Lonchura striata: one gene and its partners. The protein of the gene in region 1 binds, or shares a complex with, the protein of each later gene. Links are inferred from orthologs where the notes say so. Each region holds a gene or a part of one and is shown in the gene's direction. Other genes may lie near its edges.

Region 1 (3,750 bases):
GCTTGTTAAAAAATACAATTATTTGCTTTTTAGCATCTTGGAATCGCTGTAACTGTAAGTATTTTATTACTGTAATTGCATTACTATTTTTATAGTATTTTTATGTATTTTTAATTTATATTTACTATTTTTATAGCCATTTTATTCTTATTAGATTTATAAAAATTTAAAAATTTTTCACAGGGTTTTTCCTTATTTCTGCAACTCCGTTTTTGGGGGTTTCTCTTTGATTTCTGGGGGGATTGGGATCCCCCTGTGAAAAATGTGAATTTTATGATTGGTTTTTTGCAAATATTAAAATGAATATTACACGAGTAATTAATTCTCTTCAGGAGCGCATTAAATATGTTTTCAGGTTTATAAAACCTCCAATCACTTGGTTTTTAAAAATTTAAAAGCTTAATAATGAAGCGCTTATTAAAAAAGACAATCATTTGCTTTTTATCATCTGGTAATTGCCCTAACTCTAAGTATTTTATTAGTGTAATTGCATTACTATTTTTATAGTATTTTTATATATTTTTAATTTCTATTTACTATTTTCATAGCCATTTTATTACTGTTAGATTTATGAAATTTTAAAGATTTTTCACAGGGTGTTTCCTTATCTCCGCAACTTCGTTTTTGGGGTTTCTCTTTGATTTCTGGGGGTGTTGGGAATAAATAAATTGAATTTGTGCCCCCGCCTTTGTCTCTGATTTGGGTTGGATTTGGGGGCCTCAAGGAGGGTTTAATGAATTGTAGTTAATTTTAAATAATTTTAATTGATTTTAACTAGCTTTAATGAATTTTAAATAATTTAAAATATTTTAATGAATTTTAAATATTTTTAAATAATTTTAAATAATTTGAAGTTATTTTAATGAATTTTAAATCGTTTTAATTGGCTTATATGAATTGTAATTAATTTTACATTACTTTAATAAATTTTAATTAATTTTAAATAATTTTAATTAATTTTATATAGTTTTAATGAATTTTAAATAATTTAAAATATTTTTAATTATTTTAAAATAATTTTAATTAATTTTTCATAATTTTAAATATTTTTAATTAATTTTATCCAGTTTTAATTAATTTTAATTAAGTTTTAATAACTTTGATTAATTTTAAATAACCTTAATTAATTTAAAATAATTTTAAATATTTAAAATTTTTTAAAATAAGTTTAATTAATTTTAATTAACTTTAATTAATTTTAAATAACTTTAATTAATTTTAAATAATTTAAAATATTTTTATTTAGCTTTAAATAGTTTTAATTAATTTTAAATAATCTTAAATATTTTTAATTATTTTAAAATAATTTTAATTAATTTTAAAGTTTTCATTAATTTAAAATAATTTAATTTTTTAAAATTAATATTAAATAATTTTAACTAATTTTAAATAGCTTAAACTAATTTTAATTAACTTTAATACATTTTAAATATTTTTAATTTATTCTAAACAGTTTAAATGAATTTTAAATGATTTTAAACATTTTCAATTAATTTCAAATAATTCTAATTAATTTTAAATCATTTCAATCGATTCTAATCACTTTCCTGTCTCTGCCCCTTTAAGCCAACCCCACCCTCCAGGCCACGCCCACTTCCGGGTTGGCAGCGTCCCGTTGCCGTGGCAACCGCGCGCCTTTCCTGGCCGGAAGTGACGCGCCGGAAGCGGAAGAGGCGCCATGAAGCTGCTGACCCACAACCTGCTGAGCTCCCACGTGCCGGGGCTGCGGCCCGGGGGCGGCTTCCCCCTGAGGATCGAGGTACGGGGGGCTCCCGTTATCCCCGTTCCGCTATCCCAGTCCCCGTTATCCCGGTTCCTTCCCGTTATCCCAGTCCCGTTATCCCATTCCCCGTTATCCCAGTCCCCGTTATCCCAGTTCCCGTTATCCCATTCCCCGTTATCCCAGTCCCGTTATCCCAGTCCCGTTATGCCATTCCCCGTTATCCCATTCCCCGTTATCCCCTTCCCGTTATCCCAGTCTCGTTATCCCATTCCCCGTTATCCCAGTCCCGTTATCCCATTCCCCGTTATCCCAGTCCCGTTATCCCCGTTCCGCTATCCCAGTCCCCGTTATCCCGGTTCCTTCCCGTTATCCTAGTCCCGTTATCCCGTTCCGTTATCCCCTCCCGTTATCCCGGTTCCTTCCCGTTATCCCGTTCCGTTATCCCAGTCCCCGTTATCCCGGTTCCTTCCCGTTATCCCAGTCCCGTTATCCCAGTTCCGTTATCCCAGTCCCCGTTATCCCATTCCCGTTATCCCATTCCCCGTTATCCCAGTCCCGTTATCCCAGTCCTGTTATCCCAGTCCCCGTTATCTCATCCCCGTTATCCCAGTCCTGTTATCCCAGTCCCCGTTACCCCATTCCCGTTATCCCAGTCCCGTTATCCCAGTCCCGTTATCCCAGTCCCCGTTATCCCAGTTCCCGTTACCCCAGTCCCGTTATCCCAGTCCCCGTTATCCCAGTCCCGTTATCCCAGTCCCCGTTATCCCAGTTCCCGTTACCCCAGTCCCCGTTATCCCACTTCCGTTAATCCCTAATGAACCCTGTTAACCCCTAATTAACCCCTAATGAACCCTGTTAACCCCTAATTAACCCCTAATGAACCCCATTAACCCCTAATGAGCCTCGTTAACTCCTAATTAACCCCTAATGAACCCCATTAACCCCTAATGAGCCCCGTTAACCCCTAATTAACCCCTAATGAACCCCGTTAACCCCTAATGAGCCCCGTTAACCCCTAATTAACCCCTAATTAACCCTGTTAACCCCTGATGAGCCCCGTTAACCCCTAATTAACCCCTAACGAGCCCGTTCAGCCCGTGGTTGCCCGCAGGCCGCCGAGGTGCGGGAGCGCCCGGTGCCGTTCAACGCCGCCTTCGTGTCCCGCCTGGTGCCGCGGCTGCGCTGGGACGCGCTGAGGGAGGCGGCCGAGAGCGTGAGCGGAACGGGAACGGCGGGGATAACGGGAGTGACGGGAGTGACAACGGGAATGACGGGAGTGACAACGGGAGTGACAACGGGAGTGACAGGGATACCGGGAGTGACGGGGATAACGGGGATAACGGGAGTGACGGGAGTGACAACGGGAGTGACGGGAATGACAATGGGAATGACGGGAGTGACGGGAGTGACAACGGGAGTGACAACGGGAGTGACAGGAATGACAACGGGAATGACGGGAGTGACGGGGATACCGGGAGTGACGGGAATGACGGGAGTGACAACGGGAGTGACGGGGATGACAATGGGAATGACGGGAGTGACTGGAGTGACAACGGGAGTGACGGGAGTGACGGGAATAACGGGAGTGACGGGGATAACGGGAGTGACAGGGATAACGGGAGTGACAGGGATAACGGGAGTGACAGGAATGACAATGGGAATGACGGGAGTGACAACGGGAGTGACAGGAGTGACAACGGGAGTGACAACGGGAGTGACAGGGATACCGGGAGTGACGGGGATAACGGGAGTGACGGGAGTGACAACGGGAGTGATGGGAATGATGGGGATAACGGGAGAGATGGGAATGACGGGAGTGACGGGAATGATGGGAGTGACGGGGATAACGGGAGTGACGGGGATGACGGGGATAACGGGAGTGACGGGGATAACGGGAGAGATGGGAATGACGGGAGTGATGGGAAAGGGGAATGACGGGAATGGGGAATGGGAACGGGAATAACGGGAATGGGGAACGGGGAAACGAGAAGGGGAATGGGAATGGGAATGGGAACGGGAAATGGGGA
Region 2 (3,750 bases), on another chromosome or scaffold:
CAGTAAGATGGATGGAGAGAGACTTTTTACCAAAGTCTGTATTGACAGCATCCCAGAATTGTTGAGGTTGGAAAAGCCCTCCAAAACCACTGGGTCCAACCACTAACATAGCACTGTCAGGTCCAACACTAAACCTTTTTTTCAATTAAAAGCTGTGTTGTCTGTTAAGGGAACGGGAACTTCTATCTGAGGTTTCCCTATTCTGGATGACTGTGATACTTGCAAATGATGATTACTCAGTCTCACTTGTGGTATAGATCCAGTGTTTTTATTTTAGGCCATAGATTTTAATCTGGACTTTCCACAGCCTAGGAATTATTATACCTTTGCACAAAGGGATCACATCCCACTCAAAAAATGCCCATTTAATGTTTAAGTACTTATCCAAAGCAAAATAACTGCAATGTATGATTCTAGTGATTAAACACTCATGTAAGGACACCAAAGCAGGCTTCCCAGCAACATGTGTGGTCCTGGAACTTGGCACCAGGACCTTTGCCACGCATCAGGCAATATAAACAGTTGTACAAGTACCTTGGGTAAGTGCTACAATACCACCCTACTGGCAACTGGGAAACAACCTCAAGTTGTGCCAGGGGAGGCTGAGGTTGGGTATTGGAAAAATCTCTCCTGCAAAGGGCTGTGCAGCTCTGGAACAGACTGCCCCAGGGCAGGGGGAAGTCCCCATTCCTGGGGGGAGTTAACAGCCACGTGGATGTGGCACCCGGGGACAGGGGTCAGTGGCAGCCTTGTCAGTGCTGGGAGAGTGGCTGGACTCCACAGGCTCAGAGGGCTTTTCCACCTCAGTGACTCCTTGACTCTGAACATAATGAGGGAAATACTTAAACATTTAAATACGTATCAACGCAATTAATGATAGCAAAGAGCTGCCGGAATAGAAAAGTAGATAACTCAGGAGGGCTTAGAGACTGCCTCAGGAGACATATCTTAGAAATTACCACTGGCTTATGTATAAAAATACATTTTATGGCGAAGACATTACTTGATGCAGCATGACCTGAAATGATGGGGTTACAGTAAATGTAGGATTTGGCAGGCACAGAAAGAATGTACTTTGAGACAGATACATGTTACTATTTAATTTTACAGTCCCCTGGAGCTCCCAGCGGGCCCTGAGCGACAGAGTTCCCACGGACGCCTGAACTCCCAAATACCCCCTCAGCACCCCGGGGCCGCCTGGAGCCCTCACGGTGCCCTGAACGCCACACGGGCCTCCCGAGCTCTCAAGGGCCCTCCGAGCTCCGGAACCATTCCAGCTCCCACAGGGCACCCCAGCTCGGCCCGGCCCCGGCCAGGCCAACCCCCGCCAGGCACTCACCCCCTTGCCCAGCCGCCTCTTGATCTCGTATTTGCGGCACACGAGCGGCTCCACCTCGGGCGGGCTCATGGCGGCACCTCCCTGTTGGCACCCGCTGCCATGGCAACGGCACCGCGCACCGTGCATGCGCGCACCGCCGCGGGGCGCGGCAGGCGGCGCCGAGAGACCGGGAGCTGAGGGAGGAGAAGGAGCGGGGAGAGGTGAGGCGAGAGGAGAAAAGAGAGAGAGGAGAAAAGAGAGAGGAGAGAGAAGTAAGGAGAGAGGAGAAAGGAAAGAGGAGACAGGAGACAGGAGAAGGAGCAGGGAGAGCCCCTTCCAGGACTCTGGGAGAGCCGGAGAGAGGTTTGGCACACGGGCCTGGAGGACATCGCAAGGGGAATGGCTTCCCACTGCCGGAGGGCAGGGTGGGATCTCGGGAAGAAATCCTTCCTTGGGAGGGTGGGCAGGCCCTGGCACAGGTGCCCAGAGCAGCTCTGGCTGCCCCTGGGTCCCTGGCAGTGCCCAAGGCCAGGCTAGACGGGGCTTGGAGCAGCCTGGGAACAGTGGAAGGTGTCCCTGCCCTGGCAGGTTGATGGGACTGGACAAGCTTTAAGGTCCGTTCCAAGGTAAACATTCCGAGATTGAATTATACTTCTTTGGTTTTTTCCCCCGTGAATTTTGATTCTTCCTCCCTACCCCTCCCCCCCCTCCCCCCCCCCCCCAGTTCCAACTTTTGTGATGAGGCTAAAGTTTATAAGTTTATTTAATGACACTTTTCAGTGAGAGTTAACACTTTTGTCATGTTCTCTAGAGCTTTGCTTTTTACTTTGTGTTTTATAGCAGATAGAGAAGATTTCTGATCCATGTCCAAATTAGATGGTTGAAATCAAAATTGACAAGCTGAACGCACTCACTAGATACTATGTTGTGACTTTTTTAAAGTGAGGATATGAATATGATTTAGTGTAATGGATTTGTATGACTGTAAATGTTTCTTTGAGATTCGACTTCAGTTTTATTAGTGAACTGGCATCTTCAGTCATGCAGGGATTTGGATTGCTGGTGTATGCTTCCCTCACTGACATAATGCATTTTTTGTGGAAGTTTCCTTTATATAATAATGAATTCTGACTCTTACAAAGAGACTTATTCCTCTCAGGCTATGATTTTTAAGAAATTGCATTCAGTTTAGTTTTAAATGTTAATTTAGGATTCCTGAAGGAACTCACTAATTCCTTTAGGCTGTATTGTTTATGTCTAACAGGATACATTTATCAGCCTTATCCTGCTCATAGAGACATAAAATGTGTGTGTATGCACTTAGCAGCAGACACCGAAGTTCAAGTCTGAGTTGTGACAATTGTTGATTAGATTGTGGACAGCTGGGGACAATTGTGACTTAGTTGTGTTGTCCTGTGGATGATGGCGATGAGAAGAACCCTTGTATGAGCTTATTGTATGAGCTTATTCTCAAGTTTCTATTTCTGTATTAATTTGATGTTTAAATTTTATTTAGAGAGGACACTTTAGAGATGAAACTTTAACCTATTGTAGTAAAATTTCCTGGATTGTTAAAGATTATGCATTTTAGAGCAGGATTTGTGTGGTGACTTTTCTGTTGTTTTTTTTTTTTCTCCTGGGTAAGCCTTTAAACAGTCCAGAAAATATTTCTGTATTTAAATATATTGAACTAAGTAAGAACAATACAATCTAATGTTTTCACACCTGTTGGCTGTTTATTAAATACCATCATGGAGAGGGGGTGGGTGCTAATTTACACTTTCATTATATTTTTCATTCCTCTTACATTATTTGAGTCTTGTCTGTTGAATAACTGTATGAAAATATTAAATAAGTAATTCTCAGACATTTATGCTGAAAGCTTTTCCATGAGAATCTTGAGTGTTTCTGTCTTCTCCAAACGCTTCAGTTCCTTCTGATTGCATATGGCATTTGCAGACTCCAGATAAAAGCTCTGTTCTCCGTTAGTAATTCCCAAATTACTAATTCTCACACAGATTTAGCTGACAATCAAGGTTAAAAACAACTTCTCAGAAGTAGAAGACTGTTCAAGTCTGTGCTGTCCTATTTGACAAAAGAGCATGTTACTTAAAGAGCAGCATGGATTTATCTAGGGAGCGACTTAAGAATTTTTAATTCATTTTTAAATTTTATTTTGTTTAGGTCATTTTTAATTTAGTCTACTGAGTGAATAAGGATGTTATGCAGTGTCAATCTAAGTCTATTTTGTAAATTAAGTGAGGTAAATGCTAGTGCTAGCTTTTTATTATATGCAATGAAACAGGAGCCACTGTGTAAAGCAATGTATTTTGTATTGCAAAACTCTGGATACTGACCTCAAATATACTGCTTTTATAACTTGCTGATGTCTAATTTTAGTCTAGTAGGGAAAAATCCCAGTTTCTTCATCT
Region 3 (3,750 bases), on another chromosome or scaffold:
CACAAGGATCTCGCCGGGCTCAGGTGGTGGCGGCGGCTTTGAGGGCAGGAGCAACTGCGGGGAGTGTGGAAGGCACCTCTGAGGCTTCGGGCCGGCGGTTCTGCCCTCGCTGCCATCGAGCGGGGTGCCGGGGGTGCCGAGCAGCAGCACCGCACCCCGGGGTGTCTGCGGAGCCGCGCCCCGAGGTACCGGCGTCCTGCTACCAGGAGAGAACGCACGTGGATGCGAGTTACCGTGTTTCGTACAACGATCGGCGGTTTTAAACCTCGATAAATAGATTTTCAACAGTGCAACGGAAAGCCTTATACGAAAAAATCTATTCCTAAATGAGAGTAACCCGACAGCTACGGGCCTCAAGGCAGCTGCCTCTCTTCTGGCTTTGCCTGCGTTTCCTATGGCTGCCCGTCTGCTGGCGGCTTGTGTCGCGTTGCGGTTCCAGGTGAATGTTACTCTTCTCGGCACGACCGCTTTTCCCAGCCCACCAGCAAAATTCCAGTTCCTTGTTGTGTCCCTAAGGGCACTCGGGAGTGGGACCACCGAGAAAGCCCGGTCTGCCAGGTGTGTCCCCCGGCGCTTTTTCAGGCACCGCTCAGCCGTGACACGTAAGGCTGCAATAAAATGTCTGGTGTTTATAACATATGAGACCAAAGCTCTTAAATTTTAACGAGACGCGGGGAAGCTCGCTGGCGTTTGGTTCCCGCGGGTGCCCATCAGCCCGGGAAGGGGCGGGGCGGGGCGCGCCGGGGCGGGGCGCGCCGGGGCGGGGCGCGCCGGGGCGGGGCGCGCCGGGGCGGGGCGCGCCGGGGCGGGGCGCGCCGGGGCGGGGCGCGCCGGGGCGGGGCGCGCCGGGGCGGGGCGCGCCGGGGCGGGGCGCGCCGGGGCGGGGCGCGCCGGGGCGGGGCGCGCCGGGGCGGGGCGCGCCGGGGCGGGGCGCGCCGGGGCGGGGCGCGCCGGGGCGGGGCGCGCCGGGGCGGGGCGCGCCGGGGGCGGGGCGCGCCGGGGGCGGGCGGCGCGTCGGAAGTGCGCGGCGGCGGCCGGAGCTCGGAGCGGCCCGGCCGAGCCGCGGTGAGTGGCGCGGTACCGAGCGGGCGCCGGCGGGGAGACGGCGCTGTGGGCGAGCCGACGGTGCGGGTGGTGGCGGTCGCTGGGGCTCGGCTCCTGCCCCGCTTAGGGCTGAGCGGCGGGCGGGCCTGAGCGGTAGAAACGGAGCCCAGGGCCCGAACTCCGGCAGCCGGTGAGGAGAAGGGCTGCCCTCGTTCCCCATCATCGATGCCCCGCCAGCTGCGTCCCGAGAAACGGCACCGTGAAAACGCCCGGGAGAGGCTGAAGAGTACCAGGGGATTTTAAGTATGAAATAATTTAATATTATACGTAGTTTATTTATATTGCTGTAACTGATTACACGTTATTTTCTTCAGTTAAAACATAAACATGAAGAAATTAAAGCTTAAAGAACTGGAAAGCTGTCTTCAACAAGTTGATACTTTTGAAAGTCCAAAACTACTCCTTGAACAGTATCCAACAAGACCTCATATTGCAGGTAGAGGTGATCCACACCATTGTTTTCTCTTTTACTAGTTCATCACTTTTCATTCAAAAAGTTTTTTCTACTGCATTGTCTCCTTTGCAGGCTTTATACTAAAAGTAGTTAAGAAAGTATATCCAACAGGAATGTGTATAGTAGTATTCTGGTAATGCCTGTCTTTGTATGAAAAATGCAACCTAGGACAATGTCCAATCCAAAAATAAAATAAATTAATCTAATAGATAATGTTGTGATAGAACCAATCTGAAGCTGAAATGGAGTTATGTCATGGCCTGCAAAACTAGTAAAAGTGTATAGTCACTTTAGGGTATATACACTATACACTCATCTATACCTTAATCATGCTCTTTTCCATATTTTAAATCCTTATATTGTTTTTCCCCCAAAACATTTAGAGGCATACTTTTTCCACAAGCAATACTCAGAGTTCTATCTCTCCACCAAAGATCCATAGTCTGTAACTCATAAAAATGTTTTTGATTCTTCACATATAAATGGAAAAGAGAGAATATCAGTTTAAGTAAAGGGGGTTTATAATGCAAAATTAAGTTTTCTGAAGGTAGAAACAGTTTTTCTTGACTAATCATGTACATATTTGGCATTATTGACCTGTTTTATTTGGGATTTTTTTCCCCCAGCATGTATGCTTTATACAATTCACAATACTTTTGACGATATTGAAAACAAAACAATTGCAGATTTAGGATGTGGTTGTGGCATGCTCAGCATTGGAAGTGCAATGTTAGGAGCAGGGTAAGTATTTAATATTAAGTTCTGGTTATATTTCTTTCTGTCATAGAAAAGTAGAAAGTAAGATTAAAGAGTAGCAATGCTGAACTAAAATATTTCCGGTTTATTATGTGGTACCAAGTTTCAACCATCAATCACCATTCATACCATGAAAGTGATGGACATCTGTCATGAATTTGGAAGTCATTTGCTTCCCCATAAGCATTACATGAACACATTAAACTTCCTTAACAAATTTAGATATATACTTGGGAAAGGGCAACAGAAGTACTTGAATTTTTATCAGCACTGAATTTATTACGTATACTTGTTACATTTCCTAGATAAAACAAGTTGTGTTTACTTACTGTAGAATTTTAACGCCATTGTAGTTTGTAGTAGACTAATATGTGACACTTTTCTTAATAGATTCTGTGTGGGGCTTGACATAGATGGAGATGCACTGGAAACATTTAATAGCAATATTGAAGACTTTGATCTCACAAATGTCAACATGGTTCAGTGTGACATCTGTTCTTTATCTGACAGCATGTCAGATACTTTTGACACAGTTATTATGAATCCTCCTTTTGGTACCAAGCATAACAAAGGTTGGTAATTGTGAAGCTCAGTTAGAAATCAACACAAATGAAACAGCAAGGGAAATGCTTTCAGTGAAACATCTCCCTTCTTTATTAGTTGCATATTCTAATTTCTTAATGTTTTGTTTATCTGGAATTGGCTTCCTAAGATTAGCAACTTCAGCATTGTAACTAACAGTCACTGGGGCTTGAAATAAACAATACTAGGTATTTTGAATCCCTATCATTTTTATTTTATTAAAAGCAATTGAGTATATTTTAGAAATATTTCCTGTACCTTAATGTATTCAGTGCTGTTTCTCAAGTAGCTATTATTCCAGAAAAAATTAAGCAGGTCTTTGAGCTTTCATTTAACAATTCTAATAGTTTCATTATTCTTTTAGGAATTGATATGATTTTTCTGAAAACTGCTCTACAAATGGCAAAAACAGCTGTATATTCCCTTCACAAAACTTCAACACGACAGGTAAGTTCTTCATTTTAGTAGGGCAAGAACTAACCAGACAACAAAATATTTGGCTATATAGAGGTCTGTAGCTTCACTGATTTGCCAGCTACTTTGTGGGTTATGTTTGGGATAAATACTATTTACATCAAGTAACTACAATCTCACATACATCAAGATAATTACATGATTTAATGCTTTGGCTTGAAAATTAAAAGCACAGGAGACTGATTAAGTCCAAAGGTGTAGATGTTTATAAAAGATAATTTAAAAAGCTCATTTTTACACTATCTACTATTGTAGCACATCCAAAAGAAAGCAGCAGAATGGGAAGTGAAGATGGAAGTCTTAGCAGGTAATACTTATTTTTAACAGAAAAAAAAAAAATATTTCTAACACTACCAGGCAGACATAACAGCCCAAGAGAA

Evidence for each region.
Region 2: TRMT112 (region 1) and THUMPD2 share a complex: the UniProt entries of both Homo sapiens proteins name them as parts of the heterodimeric THUMPD2-TRM112 methyltransferase complex. The link is inferred for Lonchura striata from reciprocal best matches to the Homo sapiens genes TRMT112 and THUMPD2.
Region 3: the proteins of TRMT112 (region 1) and METTL5 are in contact, whole or in part, in a crystal structure (PDB 6H2V), measured with the Homo sapiens proteins. The link is inferred for Lonchura striata from reciprocal best matches to the Homo sapiens genes TRMT112 and METTL5. Residues at the interface, in NP_001359000.1 of Homo sapiens: Met1, Lys2, Leu4, Thr5, Leu8, Leu9, Ser10, Ser11, His12, Phe21, Pro22, Leu23, Pro34, Val35, Asn38, Asn40, Phe41, Arg44, Met45, Lys48, Glu92, Arg111, Gly112, Ile113, Pro114, Asn115, Met116, Leu117; in NP_001280115.1 of Homo sapiens: Asn52, Lys53, Val54, Gly75, Leu76, Val78, Ile82, Leu87, Asn91, Thr100, Ile102, Asp103, Met104, Val105, Gln106, Cys107, Asp108, Asn114, Arg115, Met116, Ser119, Phe120, Asp121, Arg150.

What each region holds. Positions count from the first base shown.
Region 1 is NC_134638.1:1,912,781-1,916,530, forward strand, and holds the start of TRMT112 (multifunctional methyltransferase subunit TRM112-like protein), read left to right. Parts: upstream 1-1,587; 5' UTR 1,588-1,678; coding exon 1,679-1,759; intron 1,760-2,834; coding exon 2,835-2,936; intron 2,937-3,750. UniProt on the Homo sapiens protein: Acts as an activator of both rRNA/tRNA and protein methyltransferases. Together with methyltransferase BUD23, methylates the N(7) position of a guanine in 18S rRNA.
Region 2 is NC_134603.1:379,263-383,012, reverse strand, and holds the start of THUMPD2 (U6 snRNA (guanine-N(2))-methyltransferase THUMPD2), read left to right. Parts: upstream 1-1,473; 5' UTR 1,474-1,944; intron 1,945-3,750. Other genes in the region: MAPK15 (mitogen-activated protein kinase 15), read right to left, coding at 1,340-1,408. UniProt on the Homo sapiens protein: Catalytic subunit of the THUMPD2-TRM112 methyltransferase complex, that specifically mediates the S-adenosyl-L-methionine-dependent N(2)-methylation of guanosine nucleotides, most probably at position 72 (m2G72), in the U6snRNA of the major spliceosome.
Region 3 is NC_134610.1:19,743,683-19,747,432, reverse strand, and holds the start of METTL5 (rRNA N(6)-adenosine-methyltransferase METTL5), read left to right. Parts: upstream 1-987; 5' UTR 988-1,065; intron 1,066-1,097; exon of another isoform or gene 1,098-1,418; 5' UTR 1,419-1,431; coding exon 1,432-1,540; intron 1,541-2,184; coding exon 2,185-2,299; intron 2,300-2,704; coding exon 2,705-2,886; intron 2,887-3,260; coding exon 3,261-3,343; intron 3,344-3,625; coding exon 3,626-3,677; intron 3,678-3,750. UniProt on the Homo sapiens protein: Catalytic subunit of a heterodimer with TRMT112, which specifically methylates the 6th position of adenine in position 1832 of 18S rRNA.